Drosophila melanogaster: one gene and its partner. The protein of the gene in region 2 purifies or fractionates together with the protein of the main gene of each other region. This does not show direct contact. Each region holds a gene or a part of one and is shown on either strand. Other genes may lie near its edges. The genes, in order: Hsp27 and Xport-A.

The links.
Region 1: the proteins of Xport-A (region 2) and Hsp27 purify together in Drosophila melanogaster (affinity purification with western blotting, with the first as the bait; one study listed by BioGRID). This does not show direct contact.

Annotation. Positions count from the first base shown.
Region 1 is NT_037436.4:9,382,054-9,385,979, reverse strand, and holds Hsp27 (heat shock protein 27), read right to left. Parts: upstream 1,918-3,926; 5' UTR 1,795-1,917; coding exon 1,153-1,794; 3' UTR 286-1,152; downstream 1-285. Other genes in the region: Hsp23 (heat shock protein 23), read right to left, coding at 3,422-3,926.
Region 2 is NT_033777.3:19,913,582-19,917,390, forward strand, and holds Xport-A (exit protein of rhodopsin and TRP A), read right to left. Parts: upstream 1,832-3,809; 5' UTR 1,714-1,831; coding exon 1,500-1,713; exon of another isoform or gene 1,496-1,499; intron 1,432-1,495; coding exon 1,295-1,431; 3' UTR 1,244-1,294; coding exon of another isoform or gene 902-1,243; 3' UTR 815-901; downstream 1-814. Other genes in the region: Xport-B (exit protein of rhodopsin and TRP B), read right to left, coding at 902-1,243; CG4465 (uncharacterized protein), read right to left, coding at 2,409-3,409, 3,465-3,809.

The DNA of each region.
Region 1 (3,926 bases), on a different chromosome or scaffold from region 2:
AGAAAATGCAGAAAAATACATAAAATACATTTTTACTTAACATCAACTAAGATAAAACCAACAACAGCAACATGACAACCACTAAAAGCTTTTTCGCGGTTAACAGCGAAAGCTCCACGGAGCCGAGAAAACTGAGATATATCCGTATCTCAACACCCAGCTGAGAAATATGAATGAAAGCCGTTTTAGATATAGATATAGAATTAACAGTAAATACTTATGATCGCTACAAGTTACGAGCATAAAACAACCAATATGAAATCAGAACGGGCAACTAAATTTTTTATTATGTATTAAATATTTAAATAAATATGTGCAAACAATTGATTAAATTATTTAAATGTCGTTCTTATCTTGGATTTTCTTTCAGTGTGCGCGGAACTGGAAATATTTGCATGACGTTTGTCAAAATGTAATTGAAAAACAAAAATCATTTCCCATTTTTTTTTATATCGATTTCTGAATTGTGCAAAATCATTACAAATCATCATAACAATCGTCGACAAAGGTTAAGCAATTGGCTGACCATTTAATTTTCCACAAGTCCAATTCAAGGACAAGGAAAACAGAATATGTACATAAGACCCCTTGAAAGTTAACGACACCCAACAAAAGCCGGTTTACCCTAAATGCAAATACATTTGCAGATTCGAAGCTAAAAAGGAAAAAAAACCAACAAAAACTCGACAGCTGACTTCTTTTCGTGTATTTGTATTTATTGTATTCGTTTATTCACAAATGAAATGCAAAATTCTCCCGAGTGTTGCGCCTGTTCTTGTTACAAAAAGTATAAACTCAAAGGGAGCAATGAATCCTCCAGTTGTTTAGCCTAATAATACACACTAAAATTTTGTTTTTTTTATGCATTATGATAAATGGAGTTTAAAATCACTTAGTCTAGGATGTTATGATGATGATGTAATGATGTGATGTGTGTGAATGTAATACATTGGGTGTGTTGTGGTGTGTCCTTTTTAGTCTTGCTCTCTCCGAGCAGCGCGGCAACACTCCCGTTTCTTCTTTTAAATTCTTCTTTCTCTCGTGCTTCGCCAGCGAATCTCGTCGTCTTCTTCCTCCTTCACGACTTCTTCCTCTTCTAGTCTTCTTCCTCTTCTCGTCTTCTTCATCTCCTAGTCTTCCTCTTTTCGTCTTTTACTTGCTAGTCTCCATTTTCTCGCCGCTGCCATTTTCGGCTTTTCCATCGCCAGCCTCGGGTGCCGGTGCCTTGACGCTCAAATGGGCAGGCCCCGTTTGCTGGATCTGGACAATGCGCTCCGACTTGGCCTGTTCCTTGCTGGGCGGCGGCGGGGCCTTGAGGGTCAGCACACCGTCGGATGAGACAGTGGACACTACCTCGTTGGGGTCAAAGCCCTTGGGCAGGGTATACTTGCGCACAAAGTGACGCTGGATCATTCCATGGCCGTCCTCGCGCTCCTCGTGCTTCCCCTCTACCACCACGGTGTTGTCCACCACCTTGACGGTCAGCTCGTTGGGCTTGAACTGCGACACATCCATGCACACCTGGAAGCCATCTTTGCCCACGGCGGGCAGCAGAGCGTTTGGACCCCCCGACGCGCGACGTGACATTTGATTGTGGTGGCCATGGCTCCTCTCGTACGGCGAATAACGACGACGACCCAGTCCCAGGGTGTTGGGCAGTAGCAGGCGACGCGGATGGAACAGATCGTGGGCATGGACGCCAAAACCGAAGTCATCCTCCAGCAAATGCCCCCAGTCGGTGCGGTAGTCATGATCCAACTCCCGGGCCAAGTGCAGCAGTGGTATAATTGACATTTTTGATTTTTTTTCTCTTTATTCACAACCCTGTCTAGACAAAGGAATTTTTTTTGCTTTTTCGAATTTTTTTAGCGAAGTTTGCTTCAACGTTTGCCTTCAATTTTTCAGTTTAGACTGTGCTCGGGCGACGTTGACGCCGGCTTTTATACTGACGCTGGGCTCACACACACTAGTGCATGGCAACCAGGGACGGAACTTTAATAAAATGATGGGGGGTTGCCATCTTCGTTAGATTTTGCCTGCAGAGAAGGTTTTCCCTATGATCCCCTAATGCAAATATAATAATATTTAGATATAGGCAAGCAATTATTAGCCTGTCAAACTTAAAATTTAAGCGACATTTAAAAGCCCCTTTGAATACGCCCCGTAATTCAACAAACAGTTTTCTCTCGCATCTTCTGGCTCTTTCTAGCACAGCCGGCTTTTCATAGAGAGAGGGAGAAAGAACCAGAAACTTCTTGACATTTCTTTTCTGGGGAGTTTCTCTTTGCGAATAAAAAGCAAAACGAACAGTTAAAATGCAGTACATACATATGTATGTACATGTACGTATATATGCAGATATATGTATTTATTTAAAGCATTTTCTTCTCTTATCGCTCTTTTAAAAGCTGTCTTTTCAGAGTGCAACAGAGCTTGTATTTTCATTGGACAAGTGCATTGAACCCTTGTCTCGCTTCGTTCTGCTCCTCATGTTTGCCGTTCTTTTGTTTGTTGCAAACATTTTTGCAGTTGCTTTCGCCACTGCTTCGCGAAGTGGGAAACGGGGCAATTGAAAATTTTGCAAATCATTGCCAGTCTGTTGCAAGTGTTTCGATTATTATATGTACATATGCATACATTTCTATATATATGTATATGTGTATATAGAATCTTTTTATTCTTGGTTCACCAGTTAACCAAAATACATAATTATTTTCAAAACTACATGCATACATACATATGTATGTGTATGTGTGCATGCACGTAATTATTTGCGGTAACATACAAAAATGAAGTTCAATTTATACATGTACATAGGTACGTGCTATAAGGACGTACATAACGTACATCTCTTGTAGAGATGACAGAAATTCATTAAAAAGAAGAGAGTGAAAAGGGATGTATATTCTTATGTACGTATGTATGTACATGATGTACTTATGCATGCTTTACATAAGGATTTAACCTTGACTGAAGTTCCTTACATTCATAGCTTCAAGTCTCTTTACCGAAGTAATGTAAAAAGTCAGTTATGTACACAAACAACAATTAAATAAAAATGCCATTTTACGTGACACAACAATGCAATATACAATGCAGAAAGTAAATTCTAGAAACCGGGATCACAGGAAAAAGGGCCAAGCTAGCCAAACAATTCCCAAAGTAATAGTAATAGTAACCCATAACCAACCAGAAAAACAGACCAAACACAATTATAAGTAAGTGTACTTGTTATTTATTTTTATGGGTAATATTAATTTCGCCAATTTAGTAATACATATTCCAAACTAAGATTAAAGCAGGACACCCTTAATGGCTATTGTGTATGAGTGAAGTGTCCTTGGATAACTACAGCTTATAAAACAGATGTATGACTTTGATAATGGTTAAATAATGCAGGGCATCTCTCGGAACGAGTCCTCTACTTATCGTTGCCATTGTCCTGCTCCACCGCCTCCTTGGGATTCTCCTTCACATTGAGATGGGCGGGTCCCACCTGCTGGATCTGAACGATGCGCTCGTTGCCCTTATCCTCGATTGCCGGTGGCTTGGGCACCTTGATGGTCAGGACACCATCGGAGGACAAGGTGGAGGCCACCTTATCAGCCTCATAACCGGGTGGCAGAGCATAGCGGCGGACAAAGTGACGAGTGATGAAGCCATGGTCATCTTCGCGCTCCTCATGGTTGCCCTCCACCAGGACGGAGTTGTCCTGCACTTTGACCACCAGTTCGCTGGGCTTGAAGTGCGACACATCCATGCAGACCTGGAAGCCATCCTTTCCGATTTTCGACACGGCTCCCGACGATCCCGACGAGGCGCCCACCTGTTTCTCCAGCTGGCGCAGCTGCTGCTCCATCGGTCCAACCAGGGCCAAGTAGGGATTCCTCTGGCGCTGGCAGTAGTAGGGCTCATAGAAGGGCACC
Region 2 (3,809 bases):
AGAAAATTCCAATGTATTATTCAACTCACGAAGTACATTTTCATTGAATTATCATTTCGCTGCGCGATGTACTTTACTTTGTATCTTTGCTTTATTAATTTGTAATGCAATTATTATTATTTTTATTTTATAATAAAATTATGTATGATAAACTGTTGTGTATATAAAATATACATAAAAAGATAAATATGATTTTGCCCGAGAGGCATTTGTCTTTGTATTTTATTGTTTGTGAAGTTAATTTTACGAAATTGGCTAAAGAGTGGGTGCGCGTAGTGTATGTTAGAATGTGGATCTCTTATGAAATTGGTAATACCTAGCTCTTAATCACATACTGACCTCCTTAAATCAAATGATACTTAAGATATCTTCAGCTTTGTGGTATCTTCAAAACTCTACACTTTGTGCCACAAAACGAATACCTGAACACAAGCGATTTGTAGACAGCACTTATTATAAACCAAATGGCATAACTTCCAAGTCAAATACCTAACTACTTTATATCTCCATATAACTATTTTTCACGAGATGCTTCAGATGCAAACTAGCAATGACCAGATCTGGATTGAATAGAGCTTACTTACAGACCAAATCGATATATATTCCATGATATTTATAGAGATTAGTATGTTTATAAAGTTTTGTGAATAGGTTAGTAAGTGAGCTAATGCTGGAGACACACGAATATATTCTGCAAACATTTAAATAAAAAAGCTGAAAACCACAAGTTGGATAAATATTTCTATTGTTGTTCATAATGGTGGGATACAATGTAGAATTCGAATGTAGAGAGCAAGACAATTAAGTATGCAATACGGTTAGTAAGATATTTTATTCTACGAAACTCATATAAAACACACTAAGTATAATTGATACCATATATAATTAATTATAGGATGGGCTATCTTATGTTGCTCGTAACTAGGCAAACATCGAATGGTGGTAGAGTGCCGGTAATCTCCAAGAATCGTCGAAGGATGTGGCAATAGGTGTTTCCCATGGGCGGAGATTCAGTTCCTTCCGCCGGAATTCTAGCCACCTCGTCCGGAGTGTCCAGCTCCCTAACATAATCCATAAAGTTGTCCACATTGATGGGTGTCTCTGCCCTCGTCTTTGCTGGTTCCGTCTGCAACTTTCGCTGGAACTCACTTCTGTAGTAGTCGTTGATCATGGACATCATCCCCTTGGAATACCAGTAGATGATGCCAATCAAGAATAGGCCCTGCATGAATGGACCGACCATATTGTATGCTTCCACTTGATTTACTTATTTGTTCGATAGATCCTTTGGTTTCTACTGCTGATGCTCCTCGCGGAAGCTTTCAAGCCATTGATTAACCATGTAGAATTGCTCCTTGATGTGCGGCCAGGCCATGGTGACAATTAGCATTATGGTATTGGCGAAGACAAAGAGTTTCATCATTTCAAATGCTATTGGAAAGGGGTAATATTTATTAGTTAAATGAACTATATATTTTTAAGGAGCGAAAATTACAGACCCTCCGGAGTGCGAAGATAGTCGCCGAAGCCGGAATTTAGATCCTTGTCATCCTTCTCGTCCACCTTCTGCTCATGCTTATGCTTATCCTTCTCGTCTCGGCTCTTGCCCTTACCACCACCCTCGACTTTATCCTTGCCAGAGTGTCCTTTACCGTGCTTGTTCCTGCCGTATCCCGTGGATGAATTGGCAAAGGCCGATTTCTTCGGCTTCATTGCATCCAGATAGCAGCAGTTGGTCGGTCAGCCTGCACAGCACTGCATTTGATTGGAGTTGGTCCTGGAAGTGCTCTCCGCCTGGTGCTTCCTCGCCAACTGCTGCTCCGCAAATGACACAAACTTTGTGGTGCCAATTGGCGTGGCGCCGCTTCTGGCAATTTTATGGTTTCCATTTTATTGATTTGCGATTTCTGCTTGTCGCTCTGGCTGGGTGGGAATGGTGGGACAGGTGACCAAATAGAAATATGTTGTTAGTGGAGCAATGCGCTTGGATATTTAGCCGGGCATGTGTACTTATTATACCAGTCACACGAAATGTGTGTCAACTTGGTGGATGAAGGTGGTCGCCGGTAGGGTTGGTGTTTGTGGGTTTACATTGGTCCCAAATGGCTCTGGTTCCTGAAAGCTTATTTAAATATCATGCAAACCAGTTTTAATTTATTTAATGCCTTATTCTGCCAAATAGTTTATAATAGTTTTGCATTGATCTAATGTAAGCTTTACATTTTAAACAAACTACGTGTAGATGCCGAACTTTTGATTTATTCCCAAAAGTATGCAACCCAATATACATATTCGATTCGCGATAAGCGAATGTTTAATGAGCTAAATTCGAATACTGTTCGCGAATACTTGACACACACTACAACTAACTTATCAAATACGCCCAGACATATATTAAGTATACGTTATTACGTGAACGCAATAAGTTGCTGTCCCTTGTTTACCACAGCTCCGACCGGTGGCTGCTCCTTGTCCCGCGTGACCAGGCAACATGTGCCAAGGCCGCCCAGGATGACCAGCAGACAGAAGGCGGACAGGGAGAGGGCGGGGCTCACCTGCCTGAGCAGCGTGAGAAAAGAGGCGGAGAGCTGCCACACCCGCGCCCACGTGACGGCGGAGAAGGAGAGGCAACTACGCTGCTCCATTGGCACCAGTTCGCCCAGGCAGGCCAAAATCATGGACTGGGCGCAGGCTACGGCCGCCTGGGGAAGTGATGCCATTAGCAAGCCCAGCGTCAGTCCATACACCTCGGGCATATCCTCCTCGGCCAGGAACCAACAGATGCTACCGATGCAACCGACCACGATGGCAAATCCCCCCGCCCACTGCCACTTGCGTTCACTCAGGTTGAAGGTCAGGTGTAGGGCCAGGAAGCAGCCAAGCATCTCGGCCAGGCCCATGGCCAGTGTGTTGGACACCAGGTGCTCCCTGCCAAAGGACCGCACATGGAGCAGCAGCCCAGTGTTGACCACCATGAAGGTGGCAAGTGCCATGTGCACGGCCACCAAGTGGAAAGTACTCCTACGCTGGCCCATCCACAAGTGCATCCAATGCACGGCGGGCATTGGCTCCAGCATCCTTTCTCTCAGCTCCTCCAACTGCTGGGGTAACTCCTTGGACACTTTGTGCATTCTACCATTGGTACGGGCTGCTTCCAGCAGGATACCCACCGTTCGCTCGATGGCCAGTTGAGCTTCCTTGGTGTGTTGCAGCTGCCAGCGCGGTGAGTCCGGAGTCCAGGGTAGCAGAAAGACAATCACCAGCAAGGAAAGAGTTACGCCCAAGTATATGTGCTGCCAGCTGGGAGCATTGGAGGCCAAGCCAGGGAGCAGAATCAAGCCCAGAGCCCAGAAGCAGTCGTAAAGTATGAGGGTTCCTACGCGATATTTTCCCGCTGTTATGTCACCAACTGAAAAGTAGGTTATTTAATATTAAAGTATTCTTAAATATTCAATTTTACTTACATATATACTGCCCCGAGGTGATCATAAAACAGCACGAAACAGCAGCCAGGCATCGGAGTCCACAGTGCAGACTGAAGTCTTTGACAAGACCCATCAGTAGGCTGCACATGAGCAGGCACCAGATGCCAGTTCTATAAATCTGTCGGGGACTCAGGACCCGCATCAACTTGGTGGCCGCCACGCCACCGATTAGGAGGCCAAAGAGGTGCCAGTACTGAGACCAGGCCACAAAGAAGTCGCACAGACACACCAAATCGAACTCCATGGTCAGGGAGTGGAAACCCGTGGTGTAGAGGAACTTTCGACACTGGCGCATGGCGTAGGCGGACTCTCCGTAGTTAACCA